2 linked regions of the Drosophila melanogaster genome follow. The protein of the gene in region 2 interacts with the protein of the main gene of each other region in a pairwise test. Each region holds a gene or a part of one and is shown on either strand. Other genes may lie near its edges.

Region 1 (5,256 bases), on a different chromosome or scaffold from region 2:
CGTGTCTTTAAAAAGGTTTTTATTGCGATTGCGGAATATATGTTTTAAATATATGTTAAATATATGTTATTGCCCCAGAGTAAAATCGGTATATGTACTATATTCAAGGAAAAGTGGGTGAAAGGTAGAAGGAATAGTTTCCGACCCCAGATTTGTAGCGCTTGAGGCAGCTAAAGTTGGTGACAGTGCCTTCTAGGGGGATAGAAGGTTTTGGGCCGCCATCTGTGTCTGGTTTCTAAAACTATAATCGGAACACAAGAAGAATTCTTCGGGTCAGGCATTTTGGACTGAAAGAGGCAACAGAGCTGGTTGTCAATTTCAGGAGAATAGCGTGGGCACCTGTAGAGAGGTGGTTCGACCAGGATCCGAGTGCCAAGATGGGTCTTTTCCATTTGCGGCGGTCCAAGAAAACAGTTGTGGCAACAATGTATGTGGCTAGGAAAAATATTGGACGGCGCGTATGGAATTCGGAAGAACGGAGAAAGTTCAACTTCTTGTCTGGCGCAGAATGAGAAGAGGGTATACGAGTGTAAAGAAAGTGAAGGGATTTAAACATTATGCAGAATCGGCGCTTGATATTGTATAACTAATTGGAAGCGGATGCAGTTAAAGTTTCATTGGATTTGGAAGTCGTAGTATTTCTCCACCCTAAATAAGGGGACACTGAGGCCAGAGCCTCATACGTGGGGTTCGAAATTCCAAGTCGATCGAATTCAGCAGCTAGCAAGAAATAATTAAAAGCGTCAAAGTAAGGTTCGCGACCAAATTGGTCTCTAACTTATTTTCTATCAATCAATAATCTATCATTTATGTTAAGTAAAAACTCGAGATAGCTGTGTGAAATTTGATTAGTATTTAAATATATTTTTATTTTTTGAAGTCTCTAATTGTTTGCCTCTGACTAGGAATGAAACTAGGCTGAGGATCCGGGACATGACCACCGCACATAACCGATTTCGAACATTTTCACCCGAGGTTTACGAAATCGTTACACAATTGAAAAATATTTCTGATCAGGATCACCAGTCGAGTTGATTTGTCCATGTTCGCCACTTGAAAGTCACCAGAATGTATATTGGTCTTCGGACAGTTGGGATGGACGGCGGGATCTTGGGAACCATTTAAGCTACACAGTTTGGATTGGGCATTCAGATTTTAGAGGAGGAGGCGCAGCGCAAGGTAATTTGAAGATTAAACGCCCACTCTCACATTGTTTACACGCTGTGTGTCCTTTAAATTCGGTGATATCGAAAGCGATTTGAGCTTAAAAGTTAAAATTCAGCAGGGAGATTCTAGAAACGTAGAAGCAACTCGAGTATTTCGGTAATCATTTAGAAAAACACCAATATTTTCTGAATCACTGCAATAATTTAAAATTTTGCAGTTAATTTAGACACAACAGATAATAGGGCTGTGATTAAGAAATGTATCAGGTGGCGCTAGAGTGCATTCTCGGAATAATTGTTCATAAATGCTGGGAAATTATCGAGAAATCATCTTCGTGTACGTTCAGACTCTGAACTTCAGAGCCAATTTTGTATTGAAATATATATTAATTTGAAGCGTGCTTAAAAAAGAATAAACAATAGAATAACGTCTTATTATATCTCCATTTATTATCGTTGTCTCCGATGTGATCACAGATTAGTAATTTAGATAAGGAGCGGTGCAGATGGAACGGCGTAGCTCAGTGGTGCGGAGTAAGCCAAAGGCGAGGAGTAGGCCAGTGGTGCAGCTAGAGGAGTAGCCGCGTACTTCGCCACCACAGGAGCAGCCAATGGAGCAGCAGCGTACTTGGCCACCACAGGAGCGGCAACGGGAGCAATCACAGGAGCAGCGGCGATTCCATTGTAGTTCCTGGCGATAACCTGGCTACTGGTGGCGGTCACAACTGGAGCGGGAGCAGCTACCACGGCAGCAGGAGCTGAGTAAGCCAGAGGAGCAGAGTAAGCCAGAGGAGCAGTGTAAGCAAGGGGAGCACCCAGAAGTCCAGGCTTGGCAGCAGCGCAGGCAACGATAGCCAGAATAACAACGGCCTGTCAATAAAATGCGATGAGTAAATATGGCAGGAAGCTAAGATTCCAAACTTACGGATTTGAACATTATGATTATGGATCTGGTGCTTACGGTTCGAAAACTTGAACTTGTCTGATGTCGTCCAACACATTCCATACCACTATTTATACGCCGCATCGGGACTGCGTCTGTGACCTCAGGCCATCGCATTCCGTGGCCACCAAGAGTTATTCCACATTCTGCAGTCAGCAGTGGGAAATCACATAAACTACGGCACAGTGCAAATGGTAAATGGTAACGGGAGACTGTCACCGCATTTAAATGAACTGAATGAGTGCGATCATGAGTCAGATCTGAGCAAACATTCGGGTATAAATATGCTCCACGAAGAGCAGTGGGATATCAAAGAGTTTCTAGCCTTCCGAAGAAGCAAACCAAACAAATATTTCACCATGTTCAAATACGTACGTTCTTCAGAAAGGACACCCAAAGGATTAAACTAATCAAGTTAATTTGTTCACAGGCTGTCGTCGTTCTCGCTCTCGTTGCCTGCGCTGCTGCCAAGCCTGGACTCCTGGGTGCTCCCCTTGCTTACACTGCTCCTCTGGCTTACTCTGCTCCTGCTGCCGTGGTAGCTGCTCCCGCTCCAGTTGTGACCGCAACCAGTAGCCAGGTCATCGCCAGGAATTACAATGGAATCGCCGCTGCTCCTGTGATTGCTCCCGTTGCTGCTCCTCTGGCTGCTCCTGTGGTGGCGAAGTACGCGGCTACTCCTCTGGCTGCTCCTGTGGTGGCGAAGTACGCGGCTACTCCTCTGGCTGCACGACTGGCCTACTCCTCGCCTTTGGCTTACTCCGCACCACTGAGCTACGCTGCTGCTCCTGCACCATTTCTCATCTAAATTTTTATGCTGTGATTATCTAGGACGATAAATATAATAAAAAGGAACGCTTATATCGATTTTATGACCTCACAAAATTGCTGAAGTACTAGATCTTTGGCTTTGCAAAAAACCCGATACTTGTAGAATAAGTCTGTTTTGAGCGGTTTGTGGGCGTGGCCAATACATGGACCAACAAACTTGCTTTTATAGTTCGTGAGATCTCGACGTTAATACAAACAGATGGACATGGCTAGATCGACTCATCTATTGATCCTGAATGCCTGTTACATACTTTTCAACGAGTAACGGGTATAATTATATTATCACTTGTCTTACAAATATATATCGAAACGTTAAAAAACGTCCAGAGTCCAAGCAAATCTTTTTTAGAAAATGGCTTAGATTCGTTTTAATTTATTAGCTTGAGCTGTGCTGGACTATAGAATTTTCTTTTGGTATATCCAGGAGTGGTAGAAGAAAGCGATTTTGAATTTATAAGGTACAAATATTCTTGATCAGGATCCCTAGCCGATACGGTCCAGCCATAATTTCTGTCCGGTAGGTCTGTCCTTTCGTATAAACATCTCGAGTTTTTCGCACGGGTCCCACGGCCACACCGATATAAAAAAGAGAACAGGAACGAGGAAATAAATAAAATGTAAAATAACTATATTAAATATTAGTGTTAGTAGGATCTAATTATGTAATATAAAAGTTAAAATCGATTGCTTTAAGAGCGGCAGAGAGTCAAGATTACAGATAATAGGATAAAGTCTATTATAGTCAGAACATAAAACTCTGTAAGGGTCATGCAACTCATAGTTAGATCTACAATGATTTAAGATAAGGGGTATATAGTTTCTAGTGAATCTACTTGGAACCGAGCAGTTAAGCCGACTAATCAAGTCGGGACTCTCAACATCCCCACGAATAAGCTTACAAATAAAGACTGTTCCAAGCATAGTTCTACGGTTATTAATTAAAAGTAGTCTACTAGAATAAGGAGTTCATATACGGTTTGCATCCCAATTTAGGCGCCGCAAGGCAAAAAGTAAGAATTTTTTTTGGACCGATTCAATGCGATCCGAGTGGACTGCGTATTGTGGACTCCAAACAGGAGTGATCCCCACTCGAGAATCGGACGGATTAACGAAATAAATAAGGTTTTAGTCAAGTAAGGATCATCAAATTCCTTAGACCACCTTTTTATAAAACCAAGCACACCCCTGGTCTTATTGACAATAGTCGAAATATGGTCAGAAAATTTTATTTTGGGTCCAGAAGAACACCAAGATCATCAACTCGTGTTATTCTGTCCAAGGAGCACCCACTTAGAGTGTATGTCATGCGTATTGGGTTGGCACGACAAAAGGTCATAACTTTACACTTGGAGCCATTTACGTCTAACACGTCATCACGACACCATATTTGAAATCGATCTAGATCGGATTTTAAGTCCAAATGGCGCGAATTGTCCTTGTGATGGAGGCATTATTTAAAATCGTCTGTGTACATAAGTACACGCGAATGTTTTATTATTAAGGGGAGGTCGTTAATGAATAAGGTACAAAGAAGCGGACCAAGATGGCTCCCTTTGGGACACCGGATGTGACTCGGAGATTACAAGATAAAGAATTTTTAAAGAGGACTTGTAGCGACCGGCCATTCAGATAGCTTGAAATCCAGTTTAGAAGATCAACAGGGAAACCTAAAAGATCAAGTTTTCTTATTAGAAGGTGATGATTAACAGAGTCAAAAGCTTTACTAAAGTCAGGGTAGATGATATCGGTTTGAAGATTATTTTTGAAACCCTGTATTACGAAAGAAGTTAGCTCCAAGAGGTTAGTGGTTGCTGATCTGCGTTTCATAAAACCGTGCTGACGCGATGGTATGATTGATCTACAATACAAAAGTGCTGCAAATGAGGAGTGATAACATTTTCAAACAGTCTTGGGATAGCCGACAATTTAGAGATTCCTCTGTAATTGCTTGCATTCAGTTTGCTACCTTTTTTATGAAGAGGAATCACAAAGGACTCCTTCCATATATGGGGGAATTGTGAAGATTCCAGAGATAAGGTAAACAGTTTTAGTAGAGGCTTGCACAAGGCTTCCGCACAGAATCTGAGCGGAACACAGCCAGGGATTCCGTCGGGATCTGGCGAATAGACAGGTTCAACACGCTGAAGATCGTTAAGCAGTGAGCTTTCGTTTATAGTGGGGCAAAATATTAGATTCGACTTAGATACCGCATAAGAGTATGGCTGTTCGGAATGAGGTGAAGTTGAATATGTTGTTTGAAAAAACTTGGCGAATAGATCGGCTATTGCCTGATTCGATGTTACCGTAGTGTTTTCA
Region 2 (5,528 bases):
AACAATTTACATTAACGCTTTTTAGTTTGCTGTTTATTTACAATTTGAAAAGATTTTAATAAAAAAATTCGACAACGGTGTGATTGTAAATTAATTTTTTCAATTGTCACAACATTTTTATCGCTTTTACAATTTTCCCATGATTTTCGCTTTTTTGCTTAAACTCAATTAAAAAATCGCGTTCCCAGGATATCTTTTTTCCAAAAAGGCGAATCAAACACTTAACGTTGTTTACAATTACTCAACAAAAGCCCACATTTTTTTCATCTAGCATTTACAATTTACAATTCAAATCCTTGACATCCAACACGTGTTAAAATTGTTAAAAAAAGGAGGTTTCATTCAAAAGACAAAAAACAAAAATTAACTGCGCAATTGAAAGACATTAAATTGGAAACAGGATTTTACCCTAAAATGACGCAGTAACATTTATTTAATTAACATTTCCTCACCGCCTTTTTATCAAAGTGAAAAAAAAAAACATGGAAAAAGGTACTAAAAAAACGGATAAAAAACTACAGTAACAAGATTTTAAGATCCTTTTCACCAAAACGAAGAAAAAAACTTGTCACGCAGGATATCGTTATTCAAAATAGGAGTGAAAAAAAAGGCGGCAAAAAAGCTGAACTCTGTCCAATTATAAACGACTTTTTTCGGTAGTCAAGCATAAAAAATTTCGGAAACTGAACAAAAAAATGGGTTAAAAAACTGATGCGCCCAATACAATAGGGGCTGCATGGGATGAGCATGCATTCTGATGATTTTTTTCTTCCCGTCCTTTTGGGTGCGGACTCAAAAAAAAAAAAAAAAAACCGTCCAAAAAAGTATGCAACGGGCGGCATTTGGTTACCTAATTTGAATATTTGGCGCTGGAAATTTTCTCACGATTTTTTGTGTTCTCCCTGCCAGGTTACCCACAAGGCTGAAAGACACGCTGCGTTCAGGGTGACGATCAAGGATGAAGGACTCGCACAAAGACGCAGACGCCAGAAGACAAGGAGCTGAAAAAAATCCGGCTTTTTTTGCCTCATTTCCATGCGGAAGCGTTTCCTTGCCGAGGCATCAAGGGTGCCAGGACAAAAGGACGGCAAGGATGCCTTAATTTATGCACAACACGTTCGCGGATCGGACGCCGCCAGTTGTCCTCAAAGGGTTGAAGCGCTGATCCTGTCCCAGGACATAGCTCCGCATTTGCATACGTGATCGAGGAGAAGGAGAAGGGTGCGTCTCGCAGGACGGGAGGGTCAAACATCATTTTTCATTTATCCTCCGCAAAAAAAGTAGAGGTAGAAACGAAAAAAATCGTTGTGCTTTCGAATAGAAAAATACGTAAATTATTTAAATACATTTTTTTCACGCCATTTTTCAGAGTCCTGCGCATTAGGAAGTCGAGCTGCGAGCTCTAAACAATCATCAGCATCCTTAGAGAACTGGGTCACTTTTCTATGCAAATGGGAAGAGGATAAGGAGGAGGGACCCACCCCGAGATCCGCGCTGCCATCCTGGCACATCCTTTTGATCGGTCGTCCTTTTCTTCACATCTGTGGTCCTTCGGTTATTTGTTTATCTCTCCTTTGCATACTCGGGCTTTGCATCCGCCCATTTGAAACGCCTTGGGCGAGTTTCTCAGTCAATATTTGCTCATTAGTCGCGTTCTATAATTCTAATTATTATAATTATTCCCCCCAATGGAAAATGAAAAATTGATCAAGCAGCTGCTTAAACCTAAAAGGGTTCGAAAACCTTTCGATTCATAAAGCATACAAATAGTTAAATGCATTTTTATTTTGCATTTTAAGACCAACTACTATACCAGTGGTTAAGTAATGATCTGATGTAAGCTAAAAATGACTGTTCCATTGTGCAACAGTTTAGTTGCGTTATGCATCAAATTTAAAACCCGTCGAAAATTCCATGCTCATCGCCGAAAATCAATCAAATTATACCCTTCACGGGTTAAACACAATAATATCCATGAAATTCTTAAAGAAACCGAAAAAATTATGCAAAATTTATTCAAACGCTGAAATCAAAATTTCGCAAGCTTCAATCATTGTTTTGTGTTTGTTGGGTTTTATTGGCGGCAAATTAATTAAGTTACTTAATTACAGGTACAAGACGGTCAAAGGTCGATTCCCGCTTACCTTTCGCAAGTTCTCCTCATCCGAAAACAGGTTGACTTGTGCCAAAACTTAATTTTCGAAAGCTTTTCGATTGTCCATTAGTGGGAGTTTTGCAAGTAGTTCCTTTCGGTATTCGCCAACGAGCATACCCTGTACGAAAATATAGTATCTACTTATATAACTGATACACACTAATCCTAGAGGGTATCAATAAATGCAGCATACCCTACCTTTCGTTTAGATAAATTTGCGTTAGAAGAGACATAATGATTGATCGTGTGCCAATTGTAGACGAACCAAAAGTGGAACCGTTTTTTAGAGAAATGGGAAGGGAGGGGCGGGGATTGTTGGGGGAGACCATTAGGAATTTTTTTTTATTTTTGCTGCCTTTTGTTCACTGCCAAATAAATTTCATTTTTATTTGCCTTCTTTATTTGTTTTTGTTGCTGTCGGTACGCAATTTAAGTGAATATTCGGTTTCTAGTCAAACCGGTTCGTATTGGACAGACTTTTTGGGAATTTGTAATTCAGCGTACTGATATATCTTATGTATGTATATTTGTAGATAAGAACCAATCAATTTGGCAGCGAGTAAGTAATTTTACATTTTATGCTGGACTTTTATTTCGCAAGAAAACTGTTATTCGGTTATTTAACTATATTCAAGCAAAGAAACAATCTAACAAAGAATTAAGATTCTGCTAAGCCAAGGCTTATAAATGCAATACAAAAATATTTAAATTAGCCCATATTGTAATATTTCAATACTGTATTAAGTTAAAGGGATTCTTTTCGTAGAATCCCAGTAAACTGATAGAAAATTCTACTAAAGATCAAAAGTAAAGATTCACACTGAAATATATATGCTACATACATCTATTTGTTGTGAAAATATTCTACCCAATTAATCCTTAAAAATGTTGGCCGGCTGCCCCGATGAGCTGCCCAATCCGCACAAGAACTGCCTGCACGAGATGCTCCAGGCGTTGATCTGCAACGACAACGATGTGAAGCGCTTGAACACGGAGCTAAGGAATCTGAATCTAGAGCTAAAGGCGGAGCTGGCCAAGATTAACAAGGCGAACCAGAAGTGCGGGCACGAGAAGAAGGGCAAGGTAGTTTGCGAGAGCACCGAGGATGTGACGAAATTCGCCCAGCGGATCAATAGCCTGGAAGAGGTGACAGCGCACTTCACCCAGCGTAGTGAGGAGATTCGAAAGAGGCGGGACAACATCATCATCTATGCCCGCCAGTGCCTGTATGCCTACAACGAGGAGAAGTGCAAGTTCAAGTCGTTCCACGAGAACACGGTGGACTACATAAAGCGGACGGCGACACTCTCCCAGGATGCGGAGGTTATCCGGGCATGCGGAAAGGAGGTGTGCGAGCTGCATAAGCGCTTCGTGCGTGAGGTGGCCAAGCTGAAGAGCTGCGAGGCGGAGCTGCTGCCCTTTTTCAAACTGCTCAAGGATTCCGATCCGAAGACCTACTGCGAGTGCTGCTGTTTCAAGGGATACGACTGGATGCCCAAGAGCAAGAATCTGGAGGCCGTGGATGCAATGGCTGGCGAGATCAAGGAACAGATGGGCGACGTACTGGTCAGGGCCTTCGCTCAACTGCACATTCATTCGCCGCAGGATCCACGCGCCTTTATTGCCGCCTATCTGATGAATCTTGATCGTAACGAGCAGGAAATGAAGGAGAAGCTCGTGATTTTCCAAGCAGATCCAGCAGTGCAACCCCAGGAGCTTTCGGATCCCACATTCAATTGCGAGGATATTTGTCCGAAGCCTGAATGATATCATTATTAATCCACGATTGTATTCGAATAATAACTTTAAATTGGCGAGCTAAGTACACAGAATTTATTGCCACCAGCGGAAAAATTTAAATGAAAAGCGGCTTTCTTCAAACATTTTATTAATTCAAAATAAACACGCAATACATTTTGGGACATATGGTTTTCTACGTAGTAGTAGTTATATTTAATCCTTAGGTTTTCGTTATACAAAGGAAATCACATATAGAGCTGTTATAAACCTTATATACTCGGTTTGCATAGCCATCTAAGATCGGGTAAACAATGCAGCTTGGATATAAAGACGGCGTACGGTGGCTATGATTTATTTCTTGCGACGATTACGGCGCCGGGTGTTGGGATCCGGTTCCTTCTCTGCAATGCCTGTAACGGTGCCACCCGCTATCTCGGTGTTGGCCAACTTTTGCTGATTGTCCAAAAAGAACATAATGTCGCGAAGCTGTTCCTTTAATTCGGTCACCTCGGCGTCGTGGGTTTGCTTGAACTCGTTGTACTGCTGTTCCAAGAGTTTGTATTTGCCGTGCCAGGAGCTCTGGTTGCTCTGCAGTGCCTTGGACAACTCACGCTCTTCGTTCAGCTGCTTCTGTACATCCTTTAGCCTACAAGAGCACGAAATTGGTTAATATTTGGTTAATTAGGAAAGGCGATGTGAATGTATTTCTTACTTAGCTGTATGCTGGGCCAACTTGCGCTCCAAATTGACCTTTTCTTTCTGCATGTTCTGCTGAAGCTGTTGAAGCTCGGAAACCTCTGTCTTGGCGTCGTTGGCAGTCGCCTTGTGGTTCTGCCACTCCTGCTCCAATCGTTCCATGCGCTCCTCATAGTACTTGCGCTGTGTGTCCAGCTGAGAGGTCAACAGGTATGTGAACTCCATCTGCATGGAGTCAATCTTTTCCTCGCGCTCATCTTTCTCGGTTTGCGATGCCACCAGCTTGCCGTCGGATTTGTTTTGAAATAAGCGATGCACAAAGTTGTCACCGGCATAGTCCCATACGCTTGAGGTGCCCAACTGCATGGCAAAGGTGTGATTTGTGGCCCGGAAGTGTGCAGCAGCATGTCCTCCCTGGTAGCGTCCGCAGCCCACATGTCCGCAGATCAGGCAGATCCATAAGGAATCGGTGCCCTCGCATTCCATGCACACGGAATCTTCGACCAGTCCAGGAGTTTGAACATGGCGGCACACCGGACAGGTGGAGTCACCCCATTTCATCAGGCAGCTGGCGTGGAAGGCGTGATTGCACAATATGGTCAACACTCCATCCACGCTCTCGTCCATGCGCTCCAGGCACACTGGACAGGTGGGTAGCTCGGTGTGTCCCATTGGTGGTGCTCCATGCTCGCTCCTTTCCACCTCTGATACCCAGACCGCGTGGCACAGCGAGTCCGGTTCCAGTGAGTTGTAAGTACTGCCATTATAGGACTTGTAGAACTCCAAAGCGGATTCATTCGAGCGGAATCTATAAGAGTGTGATTATATTAGTAAATATCCGTGAATCTGTAATGTCAGATTGGAACGCCGCTTACTCCAAAAGCACCATGAACTGATTGGGGCTGCCGTCACGTACAATCTGGATGTGTTTAATCTC

Evidence for each region. The genes of interacting proteins can lie anywhere in the genome.
Region 1: the proteins of CG14282 (region 2) and CG12519 interact in a two-hybrid assay, tested with the Drosophila melanogaster proteins (one large-scale study listed by BioGRID).

What each region holds. Positions count from the first base shown.
Region 1 is NT_037436.4:19,469,390-19,474,645, reverse strand, and holds CG12519 (uncharacterized protein), read right to left. Parts: upstream 2,156-5,256; 5' UTR 2,104-2,155; coding exon 2,092-2,103; intron 2,037-2,091; coding exon 1,653-2,036; 3' UTR 1,501-1,652; downstream 1-1,500. Other genes in the region: 825-Oak, read left to right, coding at 2,469-2,480, 2,540-2,917.
Region 2 is NT_033777.3:19,174,012-19,179,539, forward strand, and holds CG14282 (uncharacterized protein), read left to right. Parts: upstream 1-2,988; 5' UTR 2,989-3,040; coding exon 3,041-3,922; 3' UTR 3,923-3,975; downstream 3,976-5,528. Other genes in the region: CG5555 (uncharacterized protein), read right to left, coding at 4,247-4,541, 4,608-5,399, 5,467-5,528.